Macaca mulatta: one gene and its partners. The protein of the gene in region 2 purifies or fractionates together with the protein of the main gene of each other region. This does not show direct contact. Links are inferred from orthologs where the notes say so. Each region holds a gene or a part of one and is shown on either strand. Other genes may lie near its edges. The genes, in order: NEDD4L, DVL2, DACT1, CSNK1D, VANGL2, PELI2 and VANGL1.

Region 1 (3,500 bases), on a different chromosome or scaffold from region 2:
AATGTCTTAGCTGAGTGGTAACATTATTTTGAAATTATTTAGTCCCTTCAAATTAAAAAAATAATTTGGGGACAAATGCAATAATCACACAATATTAGATGGATGAGATCATTTTAACTAACTTTTCAATTAGTTTTTCCATCTGTTATCAAATCTTGCTTTCAGTAAAGTTATTCCAGAAAACATACAAATGTATAAATACATAATGTTCTGTGCTTTACAATGAAGTTAAAAAAAAAAACTTTTGTTTTTAACTGTGTGTAGACATTATGTCTTCAGTGCCCAAAATAAGCTACCAGAGAAAAGCACATCCATTATGGGAGAAACATAAAAATACTTTATGAGTAAACCAGTGAAGCTTTTGCTTAAAAACTCATGATGCAAAAGATAAGACACCTACCAGCAAACCACAAGCGGCACTGACCTATTTTTATTACTTCAAGACTTACCATCTAAGAGCTTTCCATGAAATACGGCCAGACCAGCAACTCTTCCAATAAAAGTGAAGTAGGACAAATGATCTTCATTACAGAGGCCTGAATTAGGGTTGATCTGAAGAGTGTAGTTGTCCCTTTTGAGGAGAAAGAGAAGAAAAGACCAATCACACTTTCAAATGCAAGATTTTGCATATTTCTTTGCCACCTGTCACTCAATTTCTACAGTGTCCTTGCAAGCATTCTGTACCTAGTGGGAAAAGGTGTGGGCTAGAGGACCTGACTTACCACCTGCTCAACCATGACCCACCATGGAAGCTGATGCATGTGTACTCTAAAGTCAATTAAACCATAAGAAACTGCTGATGTTTGACTGTTTCTGATCCACAAAGTGTCTATTTCATATGGTTCAGCCAAGTATCTTGGGGAGATAAGAAACTCCACATAATAAAGGGGCTGTGCAGGCATTCCCACTGATGTGGGTACTTTAGGTCGTGTCTGTGATAAAGGAAGGTTAATTCCTTCCAGAGGCTTTTGGCTTGGCCATAAGATGTCTGCTATGGGCCCAACCCTTGGTCTGTCTTCTGACCACTACTCTGCTCTGAAAAGGCCTCAAGGGGATTAGGAACAGGATATGGCTCTCTCAATGATGCAAACCTGCAAGTGTTTAGATTTGTCCAAATGACCTTGCTTGGTTCACAATTATGTGGATCAGTGGTTTTCAAACTGGGGTCACAGACAGTTTCCTCCAGGGGGGTATCTTTGAAAATGTGGAGGAGAGGTAAAGATCTTGTCTCTCCCCACCCTGCCCTCCACCTTCAGTAGTTGGATAAATTGTCCATAGTGGGCTTTCTCATGGGACTCAGTAATAACAACAACAGACCAATTGGGCAATTCTTGGCTAGAGCAACTGAGAAGAATGCACTGAGGTTGCCTTCCAAATGAGCCCCCAGGAGATTGGTACCACGTGGGAGATGTGGGAGAACCCACGTCCCCTTAGGGCCCAGGGTTAAAGTGATGATAAATACCCTTCAGCAAGGTCAATGACTATTCTACTGAGGGCTTGGGTCCAGCCTAACCCTTGGAGGATTCAGAAGAAGGAATGGCTGGCCTGGAAGTAGCCGATCTTTGGTTGCTCAGAAAGCAATTTAGTCTGCCTCAGTTTCCAAGCCTGGCAATGATGAAATCCTAATGCAAGGGGAAACCTGATTCTTTCCTTACAGGAGCAGGGCATGGTCCTAGGTCCTCAAAGTCCTTACAATTTGCCTTTACCCAGAGACCTCGGAAACAACTCTTGTTCAAAAAACACCTTTTTGTTTTCGAATTCTAACACTGACAAGTCCTCCTTTTGAACACTGCAAATGAAAATCGCCTCCTATTCCTTACCACAATTATCCATGTTTTCAATTTCAACTCCATGAACCCATTAGATAAGAAAAAAAAAATCAATGTTAGATGTTCACAGAGTACACTCTTTCACCAGGTAGAGTCAGAACCTGTTCTAGACTTGCAAGGGGCTGTGGGGTGAGGAGAGAATAAACTCAACAGACTTACTGCATCTTGAACTGGTGAGCTGCTTATTCTTTCATTCTGTTTAAATTCATACAACTGTCTCAGTGGGGGACACACTCTGGGTGTGGCCATATACTTACGTGGCAGAGTACTCAAAGAGGCCGTAGTAGGGGTTGAACATCTCTTTGGACAGTAAGAAGAACCATTCTCTGGCCACACCCCCGTAGTCAAGACCTTTCTCTGATTCAAACTCAATCCACAGTCTAGCTTTTAGGACATCTGGTCTTTTCACGGACATAATTCTCCGATAGGACTCTTCAAATATGTTATTTCTGTGAAGTTTCATTTCAAACCTATTGGGGATATCAGCCTACACAAAAGACAAAAGAAAACACACACAGTAAATACACGTTTTGTTTTCTAATAAAAACAACAACCAAGGGTAGGAAAGTTGGCAGTCCTCAAAGAAACGGGCAGTGACAAATGGTTCCAATTGGGAGCCTCTCCTTCAGGGGTTTTCCCTTGCAGACAGAAAGCCTCGCTGTGTCACGATGGACACACGGCATCCGCTAGCGATGCTCAGGAAAGTCAGAAACTCTGCTGCGAAGGAGAACAGCCTCCTCACCCCCTTTAATAAACAACTGTGGGCACTCCTCCGGCATATGGCAACTGAAAGGCAGTCAACTGTACCTGTTGCTTCTCTCAAGAGACTTTAGCCCAGGTAATCAAAACCTGTAATAATCCCCACCTGGCCAGGCTGGGGCCATGCTCAACTCTGGCAGGGCCGCGAGGTGGTAGATATAATCCACGGTGCCTCAAGTCCATTTTGCAGCCATGGGGAGCGGGACCCTGATTATGCCAAGTGTGGGGAAAGCAGCCCAAAGCATGGTTCGCTGACGTGAAAACAACAAAACACTTGACCAAGGCTGCGGCAGCTGCCTCCTGCAAAGAGGCAATCCAGGCTTGGTCTGGCTGTAAGAATGAAACTGCAGAGATGGTTTCCGGGTAGCAGACACTGCTATGTGAGAGTCAGAGAGCCTGGGTGATGACCACAAAGTCATTATCATTACCAGGGGACGTGACTCACAAAGAAAATTGTGGAATTTTTAGTATTCATCTGAGTTTTGAAGGCAAATAATCATTTCAATAGTAGTTATCCATGAGCTCTTGAATCAGGACTTTGGAACAGAGACCAAAACTCCTAAATGAGATCAGAGATTGTGCCCCATCCAGAGACGTCCTGGGCAGGAGGAACCGGCTGAGGGGAGGAGGCAGGGAGAAATGGCAACAGAGCCCAGGCCACCGGAGGGGGTCTGAGCTGCAGCTGATTCTCTCCCCTCCCTAGAGATGTAACCATAGTGATGGAGAAAACCAAAGAGAAAACTGCTAAGGAGGAATTGGAAAGTAAAACAGAAGATGCAATGTTGAACAATTTGGGGGTGGTGCGTCATTAGAAAATCTAATGTTATAATTTAAAACACTGCCCATAAAAATTTTTAGAGTTTCTAGGTTTGAAACTGCCAGGGATAATTATAAGCAGAAAATTACATTTGC
Region 2 (3,955 bases):
AGGAGGCGGAGGTTGCAGTGAGCCGAGATTGCGCCACTGCACTCCAGCCTGGGCAACAGAGTGAGATTCCACCTCAAACAAACAAAAAACAACAAAAAACAAAACCACCCACCATTAGATCAAACAAACAATGGAAGCTCCTCATTAGACTGAAAGCTCCCAAGGAGAGAGCAAGCTGGCGCTCCCATTCCCCTGTGCCTCATCTGGCACAAAATTCGGCACGAAGCAATCTGCTCAGCCTGACAGATCCCAAAGCCCAGCCTTGGGGTCATCTCTCCAATGGGTTCCCTGTGGTGGACTGGACTTGCCCCTTCTTCTTGACCACGACATCAAACCATGAACACTTACTCTGATCAACACCATGTCCTGGCCACACACCACACACTGACACTTAGGCATTAACAAATACTGTCAACTAAATGAATAAACATATAAAGCATCAGACTCTCTGCCCTGGTTGTTTCTCTCTCTCTTTCCACACACACCCTTGCCGCCAAATTAGGACACCTTGTCTAATTAACCCGTTAGCCTAATATGGTCATAAGAGCCAGGATATATATCAACTTAATCCATTTGCTGTCAATGTGACAACACAGCCCAGTCACTACCAATCTGTGTCAGCATCATGTAGGATTCTTCCCAACATAACACAATCTCAGCATAGCTCAGTCCACTCTTAAGACAAATTACTGTGTATCACCATAACCTTTATAGAGTAGTCAGCCTCAATACTAATGACAATTACCATTCACCATGAATTTACCATGTACCACACACCTGAACTAACCATTTCATTCTGTGATTTTCTCCATGTCACAGACGAGATCAAGACACAAAATTTAAATTAATTGTCCAAGATTGCACTGCTGACAACTAGAAGAACCTTGACTTAAAGCCAAGATAACTCCCAAGATAGTATCACCCTTCCCATGTCAAACAATCTTTCTAGCTAGAGTCCAGTTTGTTCAGTTCTTCTAAAACCCATGCTATCTCAACTTAATCCAGCCTGCCTTCAAAAAAGCAGAGGTTGGGCTGGGCGCAGTGGCTCACGCCTGTAATCCCATCACTTTGGGAGGCCGAGGCGGTCCGATCATGAGGTCAGTAGATCGAGACCATCCTGGCTAACACGGTGAAACTCCGTCTCTACTAAAAAAATACAAAAAATTAGCCAGGTGTGGTGGTGGGTGCCTGTAGTCCCAGCTAGTGGGGAGGCTGAGGCAGGAGAATGGCGTGAACCCGGGAGGCGGAGCTTGCAGTGAACCGAGAATCAGCCACTGCACTCCAGCCTGGGCGACAGAGCAGACTCTGTCTTTAAAAAAAAAAAAAAAAAAAAAAGCAGAGGTTGAGGACCCAGAGAGGGCTCAGCCCCAAAGACCATAAACACAAAAGGGCTTTCTCTGCATTATTTACATGCCAATCTAGTCCAAGATAGCCCTGAATGTCCAAATTACCCTAGGATAGCCCAATCTATTCTAGCACAGCCTACAATGTCCCCACACGCAGCTAGCTGTCTGCACCAATATAGACTAGAATACCCCAATACAGCTACCTGTACTAGCATGGGCACCAACAGCCTTGTCTGCCCCCATACTGAGTGCTCCAATAAAACCATGTCTTGCCCCAAGATAAACCAGGATTAACCAATACAGCCCAGTAGAGTCCATAATGGCCCAAGTTTGTTTTGTTTTGTTTTTTGGTGTTTTTTTTTTTTTGGAGATGGAGTCTTGCACTGTCGTCCAGGCTGGAGTGCAGTGGCGCGATCTCGGCTCACTGCAACCTCCGCCTCCCAGGTTCAAGCGATTCTCCCTGCTTCAGCCTCCCAAGTAGCTGGGACTACAGGCGCCCGCCACCACGCCCGGCTAATTTTTTTGTATTTTTAGTTAGTACAGATGGGGTTTCACCGTGTTAGCCAGGATAGTCTCGATTTCCTGACTTCGTGATCCGCCCGCCTCGGCCTCCCAAAGTGCTGAGATTACAGGCGTTACAGGACTCCTGAGAACGTACTAAACGACCAGACGATAAATGAATTTACTCAGTACAGTCTAAAACACTCCAAAATAAACCAGTATGCCCCCACCTATTCCAGTAGAGCCTAATCGTCTCTAATCTGGTTTAGGATATCCTAGTCTGCCCGTGTGCCTCAATCTATCCAAGCATAACCTTGTCCATCCTGGGAGAGTCAACCTACCTCAGCATGGTACAATCTGCTCCACCACAGGCCAGAAAATCCTAGTGTGGCCCGAAGTAGATGTGTGCCCCTCCACGTCGCCCAATCCACTCTAGCAAAGCCCCCGTCGGTCCTATCTAGGCCTTGCGCTCACCCGAAATCCTGATCCATAGACTTGAAAAAGTACTTGGCGCCCGCGGGCCGCTGCAGGACGCTCTTGAAATCGCCGAGGGTGATGCGCTCGGCGGGGACAGGGATCTTCACCAGGTATGGAGTCTCTTCCTCATCCAGGTGGTAAATCACCTTCGTCTCCCCAACCCCACCGCCCCCAGCGCTGCTGCCCGCCATGGTCTCGCCCGCGCGCTCCCGGGCTCCACCGCCCACCCAAGGGGCTAATGGCCCCTGCCGCGCCTGCGCACACCCGCAAACCGACGAGCGAGCGCGGACAGGACGGACCCAGTACTGGAGAGAAGCAAAGGGAAAAAAGCAGGGGTCGGCAAGGGTGGCGGCGGGGGGCGGGCCGCGAGGTGCGACTCAAAGCCGCGGTCTCAGCGGCCGCCGCGCGCCACCGCCACCGACAACGCGAGCGTCCTCCAGGTCCCCGCCCACCTCTCCTCATGTCACGTGACCTAAGCCCGCCCACCCCGCGCTCTTCAGCCGCCCCCGTCACGTGACCCCTCCCAGTCACGTGACCGCGTGACTCCTCCTAGTGCCCCCGCCACGTGATCGCTGCCTTCGGCAACGGTCTCCCAGCCCCCAAAGGTGTACCCCAGCCGAGGTCCTCCGAGCACCCAGGATAAGCTGGCCTGTGCCCTCAGGAAGCGGACAGTCGGCTCCCACCCGGCTTTACCCCACACCGGCGGGAGCGCGAAGCAACTCTGACCCTCAGGAGTGTGCGTGCAGGGAGTGAAGGTGGGGATTGTGGGGGTTCCTAGACTCGAGTGGGGAGGGCCAAATACAATGAAAGCTCTGAGGTGGCTTACTCAAGTATCTTGGGGTGGGAGAGGCCCAGTGCTGTGCCATCTTCAGACTGGACTGTGAGAGGTGGCTTTCAGCACCACGTCCAGCTAGTCTTCAGCCACCAAAGCCTCCCTCCCAAGCAGGACAGTGAGGGCTATAAACACAAAAGAGCCCACTCTGCTTTATTCACAACACGCAGGCTGTCTGTACAAACAGCGGCCAATATTATTAAAAAGAGGTGAGTGAGAATCGTCACCTTTCTGCTTTCCTTCCTTGCTTGGCCAGGCTCTAGTACTCCACCTTTGAGCTGCCATGCCCAGTAGGGGAAGTCCAAAATTAAAAATACAACCGGTGTAGAAGAAAATAAATGGGGAGTGAAATAGAAGAAAAGATGAGGGAGGGGAGTGCTAATATTTACACTAGAGTTTTATAGACAACTGTCCCATTCCATCCCAATTCCAATCCTGACCCAGAAAGTGATGGTGGCAGGTCCAAGAGACAGAGATTATGTGTCTAGAGACACAGACAGCCTCCCACCCGCAACCGTAATGGGTTCAATTTCAAGTTCAGAGTGGGGAGGACGGATAGGGTAGGAAAGTGAGACACTCATTTTCAAACAAGTCTCCCTTGGGAATTCCTGCCTTGAAGTGCGGACAGTATCCAAGCTCCAGGGGGTAGGCTGAGGACCCTGAGGCTCAGTTCCCAAATCATGTTATCATTTGGAAGTTCCAGGCTAAAGTTGGTGCCGTCAGGGCTCTCCAGATTTGGGAGGCCCCCCTAACCGCCGGGCCTCTGGCCTCAGTTCCTTGCATTTCTGGCAATAAAAGA
Region 3 (3,995 bases), on a different chromosome or scaffold from region 2:
GACCACACAGAGAGGGGAGGAAAGAAGAGGAATTCCTAGCAAGGGTTAGCAGATGAGCAAAAGTGCAAGTGTTTAAAAAAATGGTATAGGATGCACTCCTTCACACAACACTTTGCCTGAACTTCAGCAAATGTGACTTGCTGGATTTAATTTCCGAGGTTCTTGGATGCTTTTGAAGATATATGTGGTGCTTTTCCTCAGAGAAGCCAGCTAGTGGCATTTCCAGACCCCTATCCCACCGGAAATTTCAGTGGGATAGGGATCTGGAGTAGTGTGTTCCAAGCAGAGATGACCAACACATGATACATCAAGAGGGAAGACTTACAAATCCCTCTGGAGAAAAGCTACAACTCATATCACCCTTATTATCTATGTGCTAGCCACGTTGTAAGGGCACAGCCCGCACAATATATATCATATGCTGCATATTATTACAATTCTTCAACAGCAGGTTCCCATAGCAGCTGCCCCCTTTTACAGTGGCGGGAGCGTACACACAGAAGGGAATAAGTTGCCCGCACAGCTATTTAGGGGTGAAACTGGGATACAAATCCAGACAGTCTGATTTCTGAGTCAGAGCTCTTACTGTAAACGCAGACTAAGTAATAATAAAAGCTCAAACAAAAAACCAAAGCGCGCACGCGCGCGCACTCAAATCGTAAGCTTGTAAAAGAATCGATGCAACCTCTCGCTATACAGCGACATCCTCCTGCCTAATTTTAAATGCCGTCCATCGTTAAGACTGACGTTAAAAAATTAAAACGACAACAAAACTTAACAGTTTTAGAACAACATTGCATTATGCTCTGCCTTTACAAAGTGGAGTTAAGGAACCAACCCCACAGTGTCTGTGAATACACTCGCAATACCTTGCCTGGGAAGTGAAAGAAACCTAACTCGGTGTGAGTGGAAAAGAAGAGTGGCCATGTGGGGAAAGGGTTAAGACTGTGCTGCAACTTGGTCGAGTTTCAGAAAGTTCTCCGGAGAGCCCAACTGCCGCGTCCCGTCGCGGCCCCTGCCTGCGCGGCCGACTGTAACAGGATGCTGGGGCTCCAGGCGCTCGCCCCGAGCTTTGGGCGACGGGAAAGAGCCAATGAGGAGCGAGGGCAAAATCGGGTGCAGTAAACCCGAAAAGGGGGCGAGGAGGCCCGCGAAGAGAGCGGGGGAGGAGGCGGGGAGGGGCGAGCGAGGAGGAGGCGGCTTTGAGGGCCGGGCGGCGCGCCTGACAGAAGAGGGGAAGCCTGGGGGCGCGAGCGTCGCAGCCGGGGGGCCGCGCGGGGAGGCGGGAGCCAGGCGGGGGTTTGCAGGGCCGCCGCGCGTGACGTAGCGCCGGGCAGGGCGTTATCAGCTGCCGGGCCGCGGCGAGGGACGCGCGGCGACAGCGGACGGCGCCGCCCGGGCCGGGACGGCAGCAGCCGGCTGCCGCGCGCAGGACCCGAGGGCTTCTGGCCGCCGCCCCCGCCAGCGCCGCGCCCCGCCGCGGGGCGGCATGAGCCCACCCGCGACCGCAGCCCTAGCGCACTACTTCTCCGCCTGGGCGGCCCGGCTGCGGTGACGGCGCTCGTTGCCGGATTGGGGGCCATGAAGCCGAGTCCGGCCGGGACGGCGAAGGAGCTGGAGCCTCCGGCGCCGGCCCGAGGCGAGCAGCGCACGGCGGAGCCCGAGGGGCGCTGGCGGGAGAAGGGCGAGGCGGACACCGAGCGGCAGCGCACCCGGGAGCGGCAGGAGGCCACGCTGGCCGGGCTGGCGGAGTTGGAGTACCTTCGCCAGCGCCAGGAGCTGCTGGTCCGGGGCGCCCTGCGCGGCGTTGGGAGTGCGGGGGCCGCTGCGCCCCGCGCCGGGGAGCTACTGGGGGAGGCGGCGCAGCGCAGCCGCCTGGAAGAGAAGTTCTTGGAGGAGAACATCTTGCTACTACGAAAGCAATTGGTAGGTCATGCCCAGAGGTGGAGCAAGGCTGTCCCTGCCCCGGGGCTGGAGGTCGGGCAGGTGACCTGGGGCGGGCGCGAGGTTAACTCTGGCTGGGGAAATGCTCGCTGTTATGGGACGCCCCCGGGACGCCCCCGCCCGCCCCATACCTCCCTGATCTCGTTTCTGAGTGCCTGCGGCGCGTGGGCTGCCGACGCCCACGCGTTTCAGGCGTGTGCCCGCTTTGTGTCTGGCGACCTCGCGCGGATTGCGGGAAGGGGGTGGCCGCTCTTCCCTCCTCCTCTGCCTTCGGGATTCTTGGAGTCGCCTAGTTCTGACCTTCGGTCTCCTTAGTTAGATGAGTATATGCCCCCTCCCCAGAGGTTTGCAAACTCCCACTTAAAATACCATTTTATTTGGAGGTTTTCTTGGCTTCATCTCCTCCCGCCGAGAGGGGCCAAAAGCCAAGGAGGGGGTTTGTGGCGTGCTTAACTGTCCAAGGCCGAGTTTTACGATTACACTGGAGCGCCTGTAGGGAGCCGTGCCTCTCCGAGAGCTCTCCCCAGCATGCCAGCTTTCACCCAGGCTGGTGCTTAATTTCAAATAGAAGCCCTTTGTATAAGGCAGCTCAAACTAGATGGAAATGATGGAAATTTGGCTGGAGACTGTGTCCCCTCCTCTCATATTTTATACGTTCTGCCAGCTGTGATTGGTGGTGGAGGTGGGAGAAAAGAGAACCTGCTCTCGGGGAGCATTTATCTTACTGGATTTGTCTCAGTCATTCTATGCAGTCTTCATTAGTGGGGAAGAAAAAGAACTTTGTAGCTTAATGTATTGATGAACAGCTTTTGACCCCGCCTCAGAATAATGGCGGCAGCTTTGTTTTCATTGACCTTAAAATGTAGTTTTGGAAACAGCAAACGCCCTCACCTGACCAAGTGATACTATCCAAACTAGACACATGCCGGGTAGTGGCCCTCCCACAATAAAGTGGTGATGCTGTGCGGTTGTCATATGTTTTCGTCTATTATCTCTTTTCAGATCATTTCTTTTCTCTCTCTGTGTGTGTTTTTTTTAAGCGCCCAAATGCTTTTACTTGATAGGTTCATTTTTCCTGAAGAAATTAGTTGTAGCAAACAAACATATGGTTTATGTCTCCAAGCTTTTTAAGTCAAAAGACAAGAGGCATAGATATTCATATGCATGTGTGTTGTAAGGATGTACACTGTGGTTTGTGTAATATCTCTGTTTTGGTATTTTACTATGCTGCTTTGGTCACAGACCTGATTCCTGTGTAACACTGATTTGAGCCAGTTCTCACTGGTTATGGCTGGTGACTTTTACATTTTATTGTCTTGTGCAATTGCATCTTTTTGTCTGCACGAATCTCAGGATTGTAATTGTGCATTCCTATTGTCCGCTTGAGGGGAGCAAAGCCGTATGTCAAGAGAATTCCAGTCCAGTCAGTGTTTATGGTACTATTTTCATTTGTAGACTTGGCATTCATGATTTGAACCAGATGCTTTTTGAGTTCTCCCGTTTTTCCAGCAATAGGAAGCACTAGGTGGCAGTGTGAGTTAGCACAATCCATCTGTCACCTTTGGAAACCCAGAGGCGTTCAAATCTCGATGGGCCTTCCCATGAGGGTTTTGGATTCTGCCAGCTCACATTATACTTGGCACTGGCTATTAGTATTAGTTTCTCACTTTCAAAGGCCCTAAGACTGATTAAACCCCACACAGCAACTAATAGAAAACAAAACTCTGCAGGCCAAGACATTTGGCCAGAAAATCTCACCTAAGATTATAACGTATTATAGGAAATCTGTTACTCTCACTTCAAATTAAAGAGTCTACTGTGAAGTATTGTTTTTTAAAAGACTGGTTATACACCAGATGATTTAAAGTCTCAGTCCGTTTTTCTTGTCCCTACCTATAAAAAGTCAGTTTGCATATATTAGTTGAAACTAAAGCCTTGTTTTTATGAAGAAACTTTATATCACCACAAAATGTGAGAAAGTGGAATTAAACATAGGACATATTCTTGAATTCTCGAAGTCTTTCTTTACTTCAGGTCATCCAGTAAAATTT
Region 4 (4,045 bases), about 83 Mb from region 2:
GGAGGGTAGAACGCTGAGTGAGGAGACAGCCTTCCACCCTCCACCTCTGGAATCACTTGGTGACAACCACACCAAAATTTGTCTGACTCTATCTTTGGAAAGCACAAAAGTTGTTTGACAAGGTCTCAGAGAAGAGAACAAATAGTTTCAAAGTACTTCTTTCTTTTTTTTTTTTTAGACAGAGTCTCACTCTATCACCCAGGCTGGAGTGCAGTGGTATGATCTTGGCTCACTGTAACCTCCGCCTCCCAGGTTCAAGTGATTCTCGTGCCTCAGCCTCCCAAGTAGCTGGAATTACAGGCAGCCACCACCACGCCTGGCCAATTTTTGTATTTTTAGTAGAGACAGAGTTTCGCCACTTTGGCCAGGCTGGTCTCGAACTCCTGACCTCAAGTGATCCGCTCACCTTGGCCTCCCAAAGTGCTGGGATTACAGGCGTGAGCCACCACGCCTGGCCCAAAATACTTCTCTTTGATGCCTGCCTAAAGGTGGTTAATGGACTGGCTTTGCAGTGTAACTCAGATCCTGGGATTAAAACTTTCGCCAAAATCTACTGTTCTATAAATAAGCCAAACGACTTCCATTTACCAAGCACCCTGACTTCCAAAACACTGCCAAGAACACATCCAGCTGACCACCTGGTATAAATGTTTAAACAGTCAAACCCAAATGTCTAAGGCCTGCTTACTCAGCAGGCCACTAAGGCATATGTACAGGTTCAAAAGCAACAACATGGCATATGACGGGGTTACCCGGCAGATTAACCAGGCACCCGAAGTATGAGCCACCCATATGTATGGATTCAGCCTAACGCTGTCAGCCCACCGGGTCCTGAGTTCTCTCTCTGGTGAAAAATGGGAAGGGAGTGAGAACTGGGTACTGTCCACATGTGGGTTCATCTAAAAGGTATGACCAGAGGCATTACTGACATCCCATGGGATTCCTGACCCTGGCTGACAAATGCCCCAAAAGCTAGGGCTGCTGGAACAGAAAACAGCTCCCCTCAAAGGTCTGCAGCAGCCCCTCTGCAGGCACACCGCCTCAGGCTACATATCCTCAAATGCAAGGGGTCTTGGAATAACTCGCGCACTGCACAATCCCACTGACAAGTGCAGAAAATTGTTACTTTAAAATTACAAACTTCCGCCAGGCGCAGTGGCTTCCCAGCACTTTGGGAGGCCGAAGTGGGCGGATCACTTGAGATCGGGCGGGCGTTGGAGACCAGCCTGACCAACATGAAGAAACCCCGTCTCTACTAAATATACAAAATTAGCCCGGCGTGGTAGCGCATGCCTGTAATCTCAGCTACTAGGGAGGCTGAGGCAGGAGAATCGCTTGAACCTGGGAGGCCGAGATCGCGCCATTGCCCTCCAACCTGGGCAACAAGAGCGAAACTCCGTTTCAAAAAAGGAAAAAAAAAAAAAAATTACAAACTTGAAGATTTAAGCCAACCTTTCATTACACTTGTGTTCATGTGCATATTTTTCCATTGTAAATATGACACACCCCAGAACGTTCTAATCCCATGTTTTTTGAAATCTACCGTGAGACTGTTATAGTCTAAAGGACAGCTCATGAGTACAACTACTTCATCTGCCTCTCACTTCGCCAGCATCTTAACCCTGGGTGACTTTCTCTACCGTCACCTAAACTTAACCCTTGCTCATCTGCACTCAGTCACCGCTCCAAGGCCAAGGGGCACAGGCGAGAGAGAACCCCCAGCGGTCAGTCATCAGGGCGGCTGCGAGGCGGAGGGCAAGCTCCGCTCCTAGCCGGGCCACTCCCCCACTCCCACAAGGCATTTGGGTCTTTCTGACATTTTCCCCCACGCGTGCAAGACGCAGGGGCAGCCTCTGTGGGGGGAACCAGACAGCCCCGGACCGGGCTGCGGAAGAAAGACCGTGGCCTTTGTTTACTGCGGTGACCTTAGGCGTGGAGGAAGCCGACGCCCGCTCCGCCGCCCCGGCCTTGCCCCCTCCCCGCCCGCGGCCCGCTGCCCCCACCCCCGCCCTGCCCCTCCCCCAGGCGCCCCTCCCCCAGGCCCGCCTCCCCACGCCCCACCCAGCCCTTCCCGGGTCCGCTCCCCACGACCCTGCCCCTACCCGGGTCAGCGCCCCCGAGCCCATGCCCCACCCCGGGTCAGCTCCCCTGTCCCCTCCTCCCTCCAGACCCTGCTCCCCCGACCTGGCCCTGCCCCTCCCCCACGTCCGCTCCCCACTGCCCTCCCCACCCCTGGCCGCGCTCGCCTAGTGGCCGTTGGGTTCTGGCCACGACCCGGCGGCGCCCCGACTTGCACGCAGACCCCGCGGGGGCCGCCACTTCCTTCCGCGGTCGCGATTGGTCTTGGCAGCCTCTGGGCCCGGGTCCTCGAACGGCGGGCGGGGGCGGCGGGGCCTCACCGAGATAGATGTCTCCGAAGGAGCCGCTGCCGATCTTCCGGCCCAGCCGGTACCTGTTCCCGACTCTCAGCTCCATGGCGGCGGCGGCGGCGGCCCGGTTCGCTCCTGCCCTCCCGGCCGCTTCCTGGGTCTGAACTCCGGGAGGCGGCGCCGCTGCTGCCGCTACTGCGGGTCCGGCTGCCGGCTCCGCCCCCCTCACGGCCCCGCTTTCACCATCGCTTTCCTGTCACCCCGCCGCTCCCAGCGCCTCAATACGGGGCGGATGGGACAGTCCGAGCGCCGCCGCCGCTGCTCCGGCCCCTGCCGACCCCGCTTGCCCTCTCCCCGCCGCGGATGGACTCGGATCTTCCGGGCCTAAATCCCCCTTCAGCTGCCTAAAGGAGCCGCCGCCATCGCGCTGTGACGTCACTTCCCCTAGCAACCCGGTGGGGCGGGGCCGCGGCGCTCCGGGGGCGGGGCCTGGCCCTCGGGGGCGGGGCCGGGCGGGGCGAGCGCTCCAGGCCTCCTCCCAACTCTGCGCAGGGCCAAGCCCTTCTGCCCCGCACCGTCCCGTTACCCCTGGACCTCGGGCCGCCAGCCCCTTCCACCTGCAGTCTCCCGCTGCTCTCGCGGGGGCTTTTCGTGTGTCCCCCGAGATGTCGAGGAAGCCAGATGAGTTCCTCGCGACAGGCGGTGCCTTTTGCAGGAGGGGACAGGTAGCTGAGGCCTGGACAGAATGACAGGCCAGGCTCAGGGGACACAGGGGAGACCCCCTCACTGGGCTACCAGTTCCCGGGCTTGGGGCATCCCAGGACGTCAGCGTCTGCAGCCTTACCTCCTGACACCTAAGGCCAGAGACAGGGCGGGCCCACGCCTTCGGAGGTCCTGATGTCCAGCTTGGAGGTCAAGGGCAAAGCCACCACCTTTCACAATACGAGGCCAGACCACCTGCCTCCCGCCAGTCCCTGCGGCCTGGAGACCGAGTCAACATTCTTATCTGTGTTGGTTCTGAATGTTCCTCCTTGCAAAAGAAAACAAGGAGTGGACGTTCAGGCTGATGGCCAGCTTCAAAGATTGGGGCCTTTGATTCCCATCGCTGGGAAGAAAGCCCTTCAGACAAGCCCCCTGGGCTGCGGTGCATGGGGACCTTGAAGAACCCGTACCCATGGTCCCACGTCCATGTATGTTGAGACCTGTCACATCCTCGCTGAAACTCAAGAACGTGAAACAGGTGAATGTGTGTTTTGAGGCAGTAGCATACCAGGGCTCTGGTGTGGGCACCACAGCGTGAGTGAGACAACAGCCTCAGCCCGTCCAGGTCACTGCAGAAGAGGAAAGCAGCCCCCGCAGGCCCCGCAGTGGTGCCCGCCTTTCTCCACCCCCAAGTCCTTCCTCTCCACCCCTCAGCTCCAAACAGCTGGAGGTCGGGTGGGGGAGGCAGGTATCCATTCCTGAAGTTACACAGCAGGGCCTGGAGACAGGAGATGCCACTGGCCAGACCACCGTCAGTCACTAATGAGGCACAGGCAGTCGGAACTGCCCAGTTTCTGAGTTACAGGAGCCTGGGGTGGGGGCTGCCAGACTAGTAGAACTGACCTTATTGGCAGGATCGCTCATGGCTTTTCTGTTGATGAACAGAGCCCAGTTCTCCCGCGGTGACTGTGATC
Region 5 (2,326 bases), on a different chromosome or scaffold from region 2:
AGAGGAATGGCCTAGTCATTGCAGCCATTGGAAAGGTCCTCCATGTGGATCCTGGCTAGATGTATATGGGTACTTCCTAATTCTATTTTCCTTGGCAAAAATGTCTGAGTCAAAGGCTCAGATTTATATTGAAAAGATTTACTAGAGGACCAGCAAATTTTGCTCAAAATGAGATCTAAATGATCAAGAATTTGGATTTGGTGCAAAGACTATGGAAGCTAAAACGGGGTGAGGGGTGAAGTACCTACAAAAGGCAGTGATCCTTGTCCCTCAACCCAGTACAGAGGGAGCCCAGAGCTCAGAGAATCAGGCAGGGAGAAAAGGGGTAGGGACCCTGGAAGGCCAAGGAAACCAGACCCCTGAGGCAAAGAACTGGACTTAAGGCAGGGGATGAGGAGGAGCTGCCAGCTCTTCCCCAAAAGAGATGAGGCAACAGGTCTCTGGAGTTGAGAGAAGACAGCAGGACAGGGGTGGCTGATGACAAAAATAAAAACATTTGTCTAAGACCACCGGGGCCGGGTCAGGGTCTGCAAGCCACTAAGTCTGTACAGGACTTACCATCCTTCACTGGGAAGAGCAGGGAGGAAAGTGAGGGTAGGGTCAGGGAGCAGGAGTCAATGATGGGGGTCTCTCCAAACCCTCAGGGATCTATTCAGCCCTCCTCCTCAGGGACTGCCTAGGAAAGACACATTGGAAGAAAGGTACCTTCCCCCAAGTCCCTGGAAAAGTGGTCACAGACAGTTTCCACTTGTTTGCCTATGGTCACGTGACCATACAAACCAAACACATGAGGTGGAGATTTCTGGGAAAAGGATGGGATCCTTCTTTGCTCTAAATATATGTGGAAGCAAATGCTCCTGGCAAGGAGATTCCTAACTCAGACTGTGTGGCAGGAGTATCCCTGCCCCAGAACCCAGGGTTTGTTGTGGCTGGTGTGAGGGACAGGAGGGCTAGTTGCTGCCCTGGAGGAATTTGGCACTGTGGCTCTCTGGAGTCATGACCGTGTGCCCCAGAGAAACCCTGCTGGGGCCACTGAAGAGAAATGCTACAAGAACTTGGGTTTGTGAGTCGAGGCTCAGGAGGGGAAGGTACAATTAGCAGGGTCCTGTGCCCTTTCAGGAGAGACTGCAATCTGGGAAAAGACTAGGTAGGGAAAGAAGAGGGAGAGAGGCACTGATTCCTGCAGCGCCTAGAGTAATACAAAAGTTGTTGGGGGCAGGGGGGAGGGGTCCTTCCCAGGTACTGTTGACAGCAGGATGGTCCAAGTTCACATGGGGTAAAATAAGGAAGAGGCGAGAGAAGGTGGGGGTAAGTTAATTCAAGTAAAAAAAAACAAAAACAAAAAAAAAAAAAAAAAAAAAAAACAAGAGCAAGAAGAAGAAGGGTGGCAGGAATGTGGCTGGGCCTGAGAACCAAGCCCCTTCCTACTCCCTCAGGAGCCCTCCAGAGTCTCCCACTCCCCCCTGCTGTTGCACAGTCACACTGAGGTCTCAGACTGCAGCCTCATGACAAACTTGTGCGACTTGGGATCCACAAATTCCTCGGAGAGTTTGAAGAATGGGACCTTCTTAGTGCTGACCACCAGGCTGAAGTCCTGGCGTTTTAAGAGGAAAACGATGCCATCCTTAAGCCCGTTGGTCACTGGCTCCTCGCTCACCAGTGTCCACTGTTTGGCCAGCCAGCGTTCCTTGTGGTACTGGATGGTAGGTCCAGCCGCCAAGTATCGCTCCAAGAAGGCCTGAAGAGAAAAGAAGGGGCTGAATAAAAATCTCTGTCGCCTACGCACTATCCTTCATCCCCTGGGGCATAGTTTCCAAAGACAACAAGGACGTCCCTGAGCTCACTCTATGCATATGAACTAGAACTTCAGAATGTTACAGCAGGAAGGGGCCTGAGATCATCTGCTTCAGACCCTCATTTTATAAATGAGGAAGCTGGAGTGCACAAGGGGATGTGGCTCATCAGGTAGGACTGAACTCGGCTCCCCTGACCCCCATCTGCTGCTCTTCTCCCTGCACCAGGCTGTGACCTGGGTAAGCCCTCCCTCATTCTTCCTTCCTTCCCACACAGCTTATATGATTAATGCCAAGCAGGTTTTGTTTTTTTGCACCAGGAGGGAGCCAGAGGTGTCAAGGTTAAAGTGCAACATCTTTAGTTACCTGCTCACCAAGGGTGGCTCAGGGAAAGCAATTCTTGGAAGCTGGCAATAGAGTTAAGGGTGGGCAATGGCTCAAAATGACACAAAGCCAAGACCAGCTAGTGGAGGCGAAGAGGGTAATGGGGGTAAAGGTGGGCCTTTGGATCTGGTAATTCCAGAGCCCTCATA
Region 6 (4,119 bases), on a different chromosome or scaffold from region 2:
GGAATAATTTATTTCTAAAGCCTCAATTAAAAAAAAATCAGTTCCTAACTGAAGTAAAATTACCAGAAACATCATGTCACTACCGTAATAACCTGTCAGAGAAGGTTACACAAGGGGTGCAGCACAGCGGAATGGAAGGTTACAGATGCAATTATTATTTTCTCTAGCCCTTTGCTTCGGGTCATAGCCAACCAGTCACTATACACAGGGCAGCTTTTGCAGCATTTATTTCTTTAAATATTTAACAGTGTTGAGAGGCAGTGACTGGCAATAATATGTAGAGTTTCTAGCACATTATGAGTGCTTAATAAATGTTAGAACAATAAAATCCTGTATGATGAAAAACAGCAATCAGTAAAACTATTACAGTCTACAATATTTTAAAGCTGTAGCAATGACTAGTTTAAAAAGAATAGAAAGCAAACAGTGCACTGATTAAATCATGGTCATAAAGGAACATTTACATTCACTAAAAAATCCACCCAGGTAATTTCTCCTTATATGTATTAGGGGATGGAAAGAAGGCACGGGAAAAGTGGATAAAGTATGGATTAAAAAACAACTCTTCCCCCAACCCTCTGTCACCCCCCAAAAGCCAGTTGGAGTTCTGTTGACGACACGCCGGGGTAGCTACATCCAGTACAACGGTGGGGGTGCTCCAAGCGCCTTCGAAACGTCCTCTACTCCAGCACCAACTGGCAAAACCTTCTAATTGTCTAGACGCCTTTCTGCTTGGTTTTGGAAGGGGAGGCACCCAAGTGGGTGTGTGAGACACCTCCAGATGTAAGCCGGGACACAGTGACACCGAGAGAGCGCTCTTCTACTTGGAGAGGAAGTTAATCCCATCGAACTCCAGTCAGGAAAACGTAGGCTTGGCATCCGCGGCCGCTCGCTTCCAGGATCTCCCGCGGGCCTTCGCGGCTAAAGAACCAGGCGGCGAGGGCTGAGAACCCCGCGCTCTAAGTTTGGGGAAGGAAGTGAGGAAAAAAAATAGAGCTGCTCCTTTAAGAACTTCCTTTCCCTTTTACTCTATGTTTACATAACACAGGGGCTGAGCCTCCGCCGGGCCGAGGGGGGCGGGCGGCCCCACGCGCAGGGGGAGGGGGCGCCCCGCGGGCCGGGGGCGGGCGGCTCGCTCCACGTGGGGCGGGGCGGCTCCCACCTGCCCGCGCGCCGGCCCCCACCTCCCCCGCGCGGCCCCCGCCTCTCTTGCGCCCGCTCCCTCCTCCCTCTCTCCCTCCCGCTCCCTCCTCCCTCTCTCCCTCCCGCGGGGCTTCGGCGGCGGCGCTCAGCGCAGGCAGGTCCCCCTACTGCCCGGTCCCATTTGTTGCCGGCTCTGACTCGGGGCGGCCGCGGCGCGCGGAGCTCCGGGGAGTCAGGCGGAACAGCCGCGCAGCCACGACGGAGCAGCAGCGGGACTGGCCGCCCCGCGCCCCCTTCGCCGCCGTGCCCTTCCCCGGCGCGCTCACCCCGTTCTCGGGATGGGATTGTAGCGGCGGCGCGGACTCAGCGGGGATCGCGGCGGAGGCGGCGGCGGCGTCGGCTGCCGAGCGGGGCTCCATGTTTTCCCCTGGCCAGGAGGAGCACTGCGCCCCCAATAAGGAGCCAGTGAAATACGGGGAGCTGGTGGTGCTCGGGTGAGTCCTGGGGTCCCTGGTCCCGGGCAGCGGCGCGGGCGGGGAGCGTCCGCATCCTCGAGTGGGGCAGGCGGGGTGGCTCGGCGCTCTCTGGGGACTGCCGGGGCGCTCGGGGCGGCAGGAGAGGCTCGCAGGGCCGGGACGCCCCCCATGGGCGCGCGCTCCAGGCGCTGCGGCGGGCGCCGGGCTGCGCTGTCCCCGCGGAGGAGGCGGCGGAGGAAGTGGCGGCCGGGACTCGGGCGACCCCGCGGGGGCAGCGCCGGGCACCGGGTCCGTGGCCGTATCGTGAGGGCGGGGGCAGGGGCTCCACTTCCCGCGCGCCGCGTCCGCCCGGGGAGGGCGGGCAGGAACTCGGGGTGAGGCGCCGCCGTCGCGGGCACTTCGCGGGGTCGCTTCCCGAAGCTGAGAGCCCGGCCGGCCCGGAGTCCCGTCTTCCCACCTCCCGGACGGACCGTGGTTCCCGCGCCCCCGAACTCCGAGCGCGGCGCCGTGAGCTCGGGCCGCCGCGGGCTGTGGGATCCCCGGCTGCGCTTTGGAAATTGTTCCGATGACCGCCGCGGGCCGCCGCAGCCCGAGGGCAGTGAACGGTGTGTGACCCGGGCCGGCCGGTCCTCCGCTTCTCCTTGGAATGCCCTGGTGGGGAGGGGCAGGATGCGGCTGCTCGGGGCCTGGCACTGGGGCGCGGGCCGCATCCCCCTGGTCCCCGCCTCGCCAGTGTCCTCCCGGCGGCGGGGAGCTCGCCAGCCTCGCCCGCCTCGGCTCCCTCTCTGCTGGTGAAAGCCGCATTTTGTAGATAGTAATTATGTACAATCGTTAAACGGCAGCAATTAGAGACTTCATCTACTTCCTGAGTTTCCTTGTGACATTTCTATTGTTTACCCTTAATAAGCCGGGAGAGAGGCTTCGCGGGATTATAGCTGGATATAGTGGGCAGTGAAAGGGGAGGGGGAGGGGGGAAGTGCAGGAAACTGGGGAGAAGGAACAACTTGGGTTTAGTGTTGAAGAAAGGATTATTTTTTCCTTTGGCCAAATGTGTCGCTCCTGGGAACCCGCGCTTTTGTCCTTCTGCGTTGAAAGACCTGTATTCAGAACATCCTTGGCGCTGATAGGTAGGCTTAGCACACATATGAGGAGTCATGGCTGTGGGAAGACTCAGGGAACTTTGCAAAACGTGTTTTGATACTTGAGTACCTTGAAGTAAGTGCTGACTTAAAAATAATTTAAGAGGAGTTTTTTAAGGGAAGCTTCCAGACACCGCACAACTCAAAGCTTCCCAGTCTTCCTGACTTTGTTGCTAGTGCATTAAGTGGGGGTAGTATTGGAAATCTCATTACCTATTTTGAAGCTGTTTGCAGGTAAGTGTTTTTCTCACCTGCATCTTAATTGCACTTCAAAGACAAATATCAGGGTTCACAGGAAGGCGGGAGGAATGACAGGAGAAAAACCACAGTATAGTCTGTCTTATGTAACTTCAGCCCAACCTAATTTTGTGGAGTTTGGTTTTGTGTGGCTGGCTTCAAAGTATGTTTAACACTGGGAATTTGACGTGGAAGATTAACGTATGCCAGGACATTATTTTCATTATTTCCTTTTGAGGAAATAATTGTTGAGATGTTTCAGAAAAGCAGCGAGTGGGCCTGGAGAGGTTTTGTGTTCATAGCTGGCAGTGCAGGGCATTCCGAAGCCACGGAAAGGATTGAAACCCTGGATTGTCCTAGTATCATACATGGTCTTACTGCACAGGAGCCTGTGGATATAACGTTGCAGTTGCATACGCTCTGCCCTTTGCTAATGCTTTTCCAGGAGACCAAGGTATGACATAGTTGGCCCTTAGTGGGCGAGACACTCAATCGTCATTTGTGTACCTACTCTGTGCTTGTGCTGTTTAGGCATTGCTGATGTAGTGAGAACAGGGAACTTTCATTTTAGTGTGGAGTGACAGGCATAAACAGAAAGAAACATTCAAATAGGTGAGTAATAAGTGACCATTTCAGGTGTAACCAAGTTCTAAAGAGGAGCTGATAAACTTGGAGAGTGACTGCTTAGGTGGGTATTGCTTTCTTCGACTGGAAGATCAGGGAAGTTCTCTCTCAGGAGGTGAAATGTGAATAGAGGATGCTAGTCTGGTTTTTGAATACTTGAATTGTGGTATTTTTCTTTTTTTGAGAGTAGGTTTCTGACTGTTTACCAGTGTTGAACACATTGAAGAGTGCAGGTGAAAGAGTGACTAGGTAGGTAGATTTTTAAAGAGAACCTTATTGATATTCCACCCTTAGGGTTTCAGACAGTGTACTTCATCTTAAAACAACAATAACATTCACACAGAATTACTATCTTTATGATATTATCTTTATGTCCTCTGGGACATAAATATTGGAAAACAAAATTTCAAGTAGATTTTCTGAATAATGAGATGATTCCTGAGATCTAAAAATGGCTAATATTTGATATTGATAGAAGCTTTGCTTGTCAAATTCAGTGC
Region 7 (3,500 bases), on a different chromosome or scaffold from region 2:
AAAAAAACAACTGGCAATAATAATGGAGCAACAAGAGAGCAAGGTGCTGAAAAGACACAGGGGGCCAAAGAGGTTTTGCCTCAGAAATTCGTACGTATCCTCTCACTCAGAAAAAAAAAACGTCAGACGCAGTGGCAAAGTGGTGAAATTAGGACACCAACTTAGAAAAAGCTAGTTGAAGTTAGTAGCTAAATCAGCAAGACAGAGATCGCTCATAACCAAATAACCCCGAATCTAGTCATGACCAAAAAACATGATTTATGAAATGTATGGGCTATGGTAAGAAGTGGTGGTTAAGGTCTCAATCCTATGAACTAATAATCCTTCAACTTGGAAAGTTCGAAGTATCACATACACTGAGAGAAATTCCTATTTAAGACGATGGCCAGAAGCAGCCAGGACTGTCGAACATTACTGGTGGAAGTGGACCATGGCACAGTGCCTCTGGAAAACCACTCTGGCGGTTTCACAGAAATTTAAAAATACACTTAAGTACATGGCTCAGCAATTCCACTCTCAGGTTTTATCCAAAAATTAATAAAAATGTACATCCAGCCAGGTGCGGTGGCTCACGCCTGTAATCCTAGCACTTTGGGAGGCCAAGGCAGGCAAATCACCTGAGGTCAGGAGTTCGAGACCAGCCTGGCCAACATGGTGAAAGCCCGTCTCTACTAAAAATACAACAATTAGCTGGGCTTGGGGGCGCGTGTCTGTAATCCTGGCTATTTGGGAGGCTGAGGCAGGAGAATCGCTTGAACCCGGGAGGTGGAGGCTGCAGTGAGCTGAGATCATGCCACTGCACTCCAGCCTGGGCAACAGAGAAAGACTCTGTCTCAAAAAACAAACCAACCAACCAACAAACAAAAACCCAAATGTCCATTCACTAGGAGAATGGACAACAAATTGTGGTAGACTGACGCAATGGAATACTACTCAGCAAAAGTAAAAAGAATAAGCTGTTGAAACATACCAAAATATGGATAAATCTCAAAATCATTACGCTGAGTGGGGCGGGTTGGGGGACAGGGGTGGACCATATGATTCTAATTATATTAAATTCAAAAACAGGCAAAATTAAACTATAGTGATAGAAATCAACACAGCGGTTGCCTTGGAGAGGTGAGGGTGGGGCAGAGGTTGACTAGGAAGGGCACAAGAGAGTTTCCTGGGGTGCACATGCATGTCTAAAAAATGCAGATGTACAAAGGATCCTGTTAAGCTTGAGGTTCTTAGAAGAAAAAGCACCTAAGATGCTTTCATCAAAACCCCCTAGATATTCAATAAAGAAACTGAGGCCTACAAAGGCTGTGACTGCTCAAGGTAACGGAGCTACTAAAAAATACAGCCTCCAAACACCCATCTCAATGCTTTTCACACCAGATCATCCTTGGGCAACACCAATAGCTTCCCAAAGTAGTTCTCAGATATGAGGTGCAGAGGAGATGCAGAGAAAAAAGAGCCTTTGTTGTAGGCCACCGGCACCTCTGAACCCACATCCGGGAGGAAACTGACCCCCTCATGCACTCCAGGGTGATCCAGTCCTAGGATTGGCCCCACCCAACCATCAGCCATCCCAGAGCCAAGACAGGCAGCACTAAATGCATTTGCTCATTGCTCAGTGAACCCCACGTTCAACCCACAACTGGAGCTTTGAGTCCCAAGAACACCTTGTGTACTCTGAGGAATTCCAGTTCCAGTGCACCTATCTGATTATAAATGCTTACCTGTGTGTATGCACAGGTATGTACAGATGTATGCTTATCTATAGTCCTATATCTGTCTTTACAGCTGTGTATCATACATTGCTTTGTTTATGAGGGGCAAGGCTGGACATGTGTATATATATTTCAGGATGTGCAGAGGGTGTGCAAACATGTTTCTGTGTATAGCTCAGATATTTATTTAAATCAGGTGGGCTGCCAGACAGTTGGAACCTGGAGAAGAACCCACTCAATGGTTTAAAAAATTAATAAAGTGTCAGTATTTCAAAAATACTATAAAGTTAGGATTTCACATAAAATCCGGATTTGCAGCTTTTCTCAAACACTGAATCCCTGAATTCCTGAGCAACAGTAGGTGTCTGGAGCTGCGGGGCTACTGTTTCCTTTACAGAGGCAATGCATTCTCCAGTTAGCCACAGGCTCCTTCACACCACACTACAGCACTCACACTGATGCACTGCACAGACTGCTGTTAACCCAAAGCTTGTTTGATATATTTTTGCCCCCTCTTTTTGATCCAGGGCCTCCTTAATTAACTTACGTTTCTCTACCAGGCATCTGAGTGTGCGGCCTCTGATTTACTGCATAGCTCTAGTAGTAATGGTCAGTCTGGGCTGTCCCACGTTTTTCAAACTTCTTCTTAGGGTTTCTGAGTTTCCTTCTCCCTCTTACACTGTTCCATTGTGAAATGAGCAGTGACAGACTTCAGCTTTTCCCTTCCCTACCCTGTCATCAACCTTGCTGATTTCTTTTCCACACCATGCAAAGCAGGCCAACCAATCATACTTCAGAAGAATCCCCAAGCTACCAAAGGGCAGGACAGGCTGTCCTCAGACCAAAAAGAGACCACGGGACATAGATAAATTAGCATGCTAGAAAAATAAAGACAAAAACCCAAGAGAACCTAAGGAAAACATTTACAGAAAGGAGTCTTAGTCAAGTGGCAGTGTGCTTAGAGACTACCTTTGATCCTTACCTGAACTTCCTCTGTCCGAGCAGAATCATTTCCCAACAGGGGCTCTCCAGTGGGAGGTTGAATGGTGACAGACTTTTCTGACCCTCTGCCATCTTTATTCCGGGGTGACTTATGTCTCTCTCTAGTTCTCTCCCTGAAAAACAACAACGAGCTAGCACATTTATGCCATGTTAATTAACTCTCTGGGTTTATCAAAATGTAAGTATCATTTTGAATTTAGGAAAGTTCTACACACGCACGCACACACACACACACACACACACACACACAGAGCATCAAAACCCACCCATCTTCACCACACTTCAAAGGGTGCATTGATCTTTACTCCCTACTTAATATTTTCTTTCTGCCATCCCAAGACCCAAAACACTCTTCTTGCGTTGCCATAAAGAAATACCTGACACCTTCATAAAGAAATGAGTTTAACTGGCTCACGGTCCTGCAGACTTTACAGGAAGCATGGTACTGACATCTGCTTGGCTTCTAGAGAGGCCTCAGGAAGCTTACAGTCATGGCAGAAGGCGAAGTGGGAGCAGGCACATCACATGGTGAAAGCGGGAGCAAGAGAGAGAGAGTTGGGAGAGGAGGCACGACACACTTGTAAACAACCACCTGTCACTCTTCCATCAACAGTGACATTTTTTCAAAGCCTAAAATTTAATGTTAGGATTTATGTAGCTAGTTACACTTTATTGTAATAATTACTGATTTGATTTGGTTAAAATTTGCCTTAACCAATTTTCTAGGGCTTTTAAAATTGGGACAACATTGTAGAATATCTAAGCTTTGGTATGTCCAAAAAA

What was found.
Region 1: the proteins of DVL2 (region 2) and NEDD4L purify together in Homo sapiens (affinity purification with mass spectrometry; 4 studies listed by BioGRID and IntAct, with this or other methods). This does not show direct contact. The link is inferred for Macaca mulatta from reciprocal best matches to the Homo sapiens genes DVL2 and NEDD4L.
Region 3: the proteins of DVL2 (region 2) and DACT1 purify together in Homo sapiens (affinity purification with western blotting; 3 studies listed by BioGRID and IntAct, with this or other methods). This does not show direct contact. The link is inferred for Macaca mulatta from reciprocal best matches to the Homo sapiens genes DVL2 and DACT1.
Region 4: the proteins of DVL2 (region 2) and CSNK1D purify together in Homo sapiens (affinity purification with mass spectrometry; 3 studies listed by BioGRID and IntAct, with this or other methods). This does not show direct contact. The link is inferred for Macaca mulatta from reciprocal best matches to the Homo sapiens genes DVL2 and CSNK1D.
Region 5: the proteins of DVL2 (region 2) and VANGL2 purify together in Homo sapiens (affinity purification with mass spectrometry; 4 studies listed by BioGRID and IntAct, with this or other methods). This does not show direct contact. The link is inferred for Macaca mulatta from reciprocal best matches to the Homo sapiens genes DVL2 and VANGL2.
Region 6: the proteins of DVL2 (region 2) and PELI2 purify together in Homo sapiens (affinity purification with western blotting; 3 studies listed by BioGRID, with this or other methods). This does not show direct contact. The link is inferred for Macaca mulatta from reciprocal best matches to the Homo sapiens genes DVL2 and PELI2.
Region 7: the proteins of DVL2 (region 2) and VANGL1 purify together in Homo sapiens (affinity purification with mass spectrometry; 4 studies listed by BioGRID and IntAct, with this or other methods). This does not show direct contact. The link is inferred for Macaca mulatta from reciprocal best matches to the Homo sapiens genes DVL2 and VANGL1.

The regions. Positions count from the first base shown.
Region 1 is NC_133423.1:22,628,515-22,632,014, forward strand, and holds part of NEDD4L (E3 ubiquitin-protein ligase NEDD4-like), read right to left. Parts: intron 2,317-3,500; coding exon 2,087-2,316; intron 572-2,086; coding exon 450-571; intron 1-449. UniProt on the Homo sapiens protein: E3 ubiquitin-protein ligase that mediates the polyubiquitination of lysine and cysteine residues on target proteins and is thereby implicated in the regulation of various signaling pathways including autophagy, innate immunity or DNA repair.
Region 2 is NC_133421.1:8,718,185-8,722,139, forward strand, and holds the start of DVL2 (segment polarity protein dishevelled homolog DVL-2), read right to left. Parts: upstream 2,801-3,955; 5' UTR 2,516-2,800; coding exon 2,322-2,515; intron 1-2,321. Other genes in the region: PHF23 (PHD finger protein 23), read right to left, coding at 3,876-3,955.
Region 3 is NC_133412.1:131,747,012-131,751,006, forward strand, and holds the start of DACT1 (dapper homolog 1), read left to right. Parts: upstream 1-1,195; 5' UTR 1,196-1,581; coding exon 1,582-1,926; intron 1,927-3,995.
Region 4 is NC_133421.1:91,982,589-91,986,633, forward strand, and holds the start of CSNK1D (casein kinase I), read right to left. Parts: upstream 2,801-4,045; 5' UTR 2,476-2,800; coding exon 2,400-2,475; exon of another isoform or gene 2,374-2,399; intron 1-2,373. UniProt on the Homo sapiens protein: Essential serine/threonine-protein kinase that regulates diverse cellular growth and survival processes including Wnt signaling, DNA repair and circadian rhythms. It can phosphorylate a large number of proteins.
Region 5 is NC_133406.1:106,462,174-106,464,499, forward strand, and holds part of VANGL2 (vang-like protein 2), read right to left. Parts: intron 1,739-2,326; coding exon 1,478-1,738; 3' UTR 1-1,477. UniProt on the Homo sapiens protein: Involved in the control of early morphogenesis and patterning of both axial midline structures and the development of neural plate. Plays a role in the regulation of planar cell polarity, particularly in the orientation of stereociliary bundles in the cochlea.
Region 6 is NC_133412.1:129,257,249-129,261,367, forward strand, and holds the start of PELI2 (E3 ubiquitin-protein ligase pellino homolog 2), read left to right. Parts: upstream 1-1,319; 5' UTR 1,320-1,560; coding exon 1,561-1,637; intron 1,638-1,969; exon of another isoform or gene 1,970-2,224; intron 2,225-4,119. UniProt on the Homo sapiens protein: E3 ubiquitin ligase catalyzing the covalent attachment of ubiquitin moieties onto substrate proteins. Involved in the TLR and IL-1 signaling pathways via interaction with the complex containing IRAK kinases and TRAF6.
Region 7 is NC_133406.1:124,612,644-124,616,143, forward strand, and holds part of VANGL1 (vang-like protein 1), read right to left. Parts: intron 2,831-3,500; coding exon 2,698-2,830; intron 1-2,697.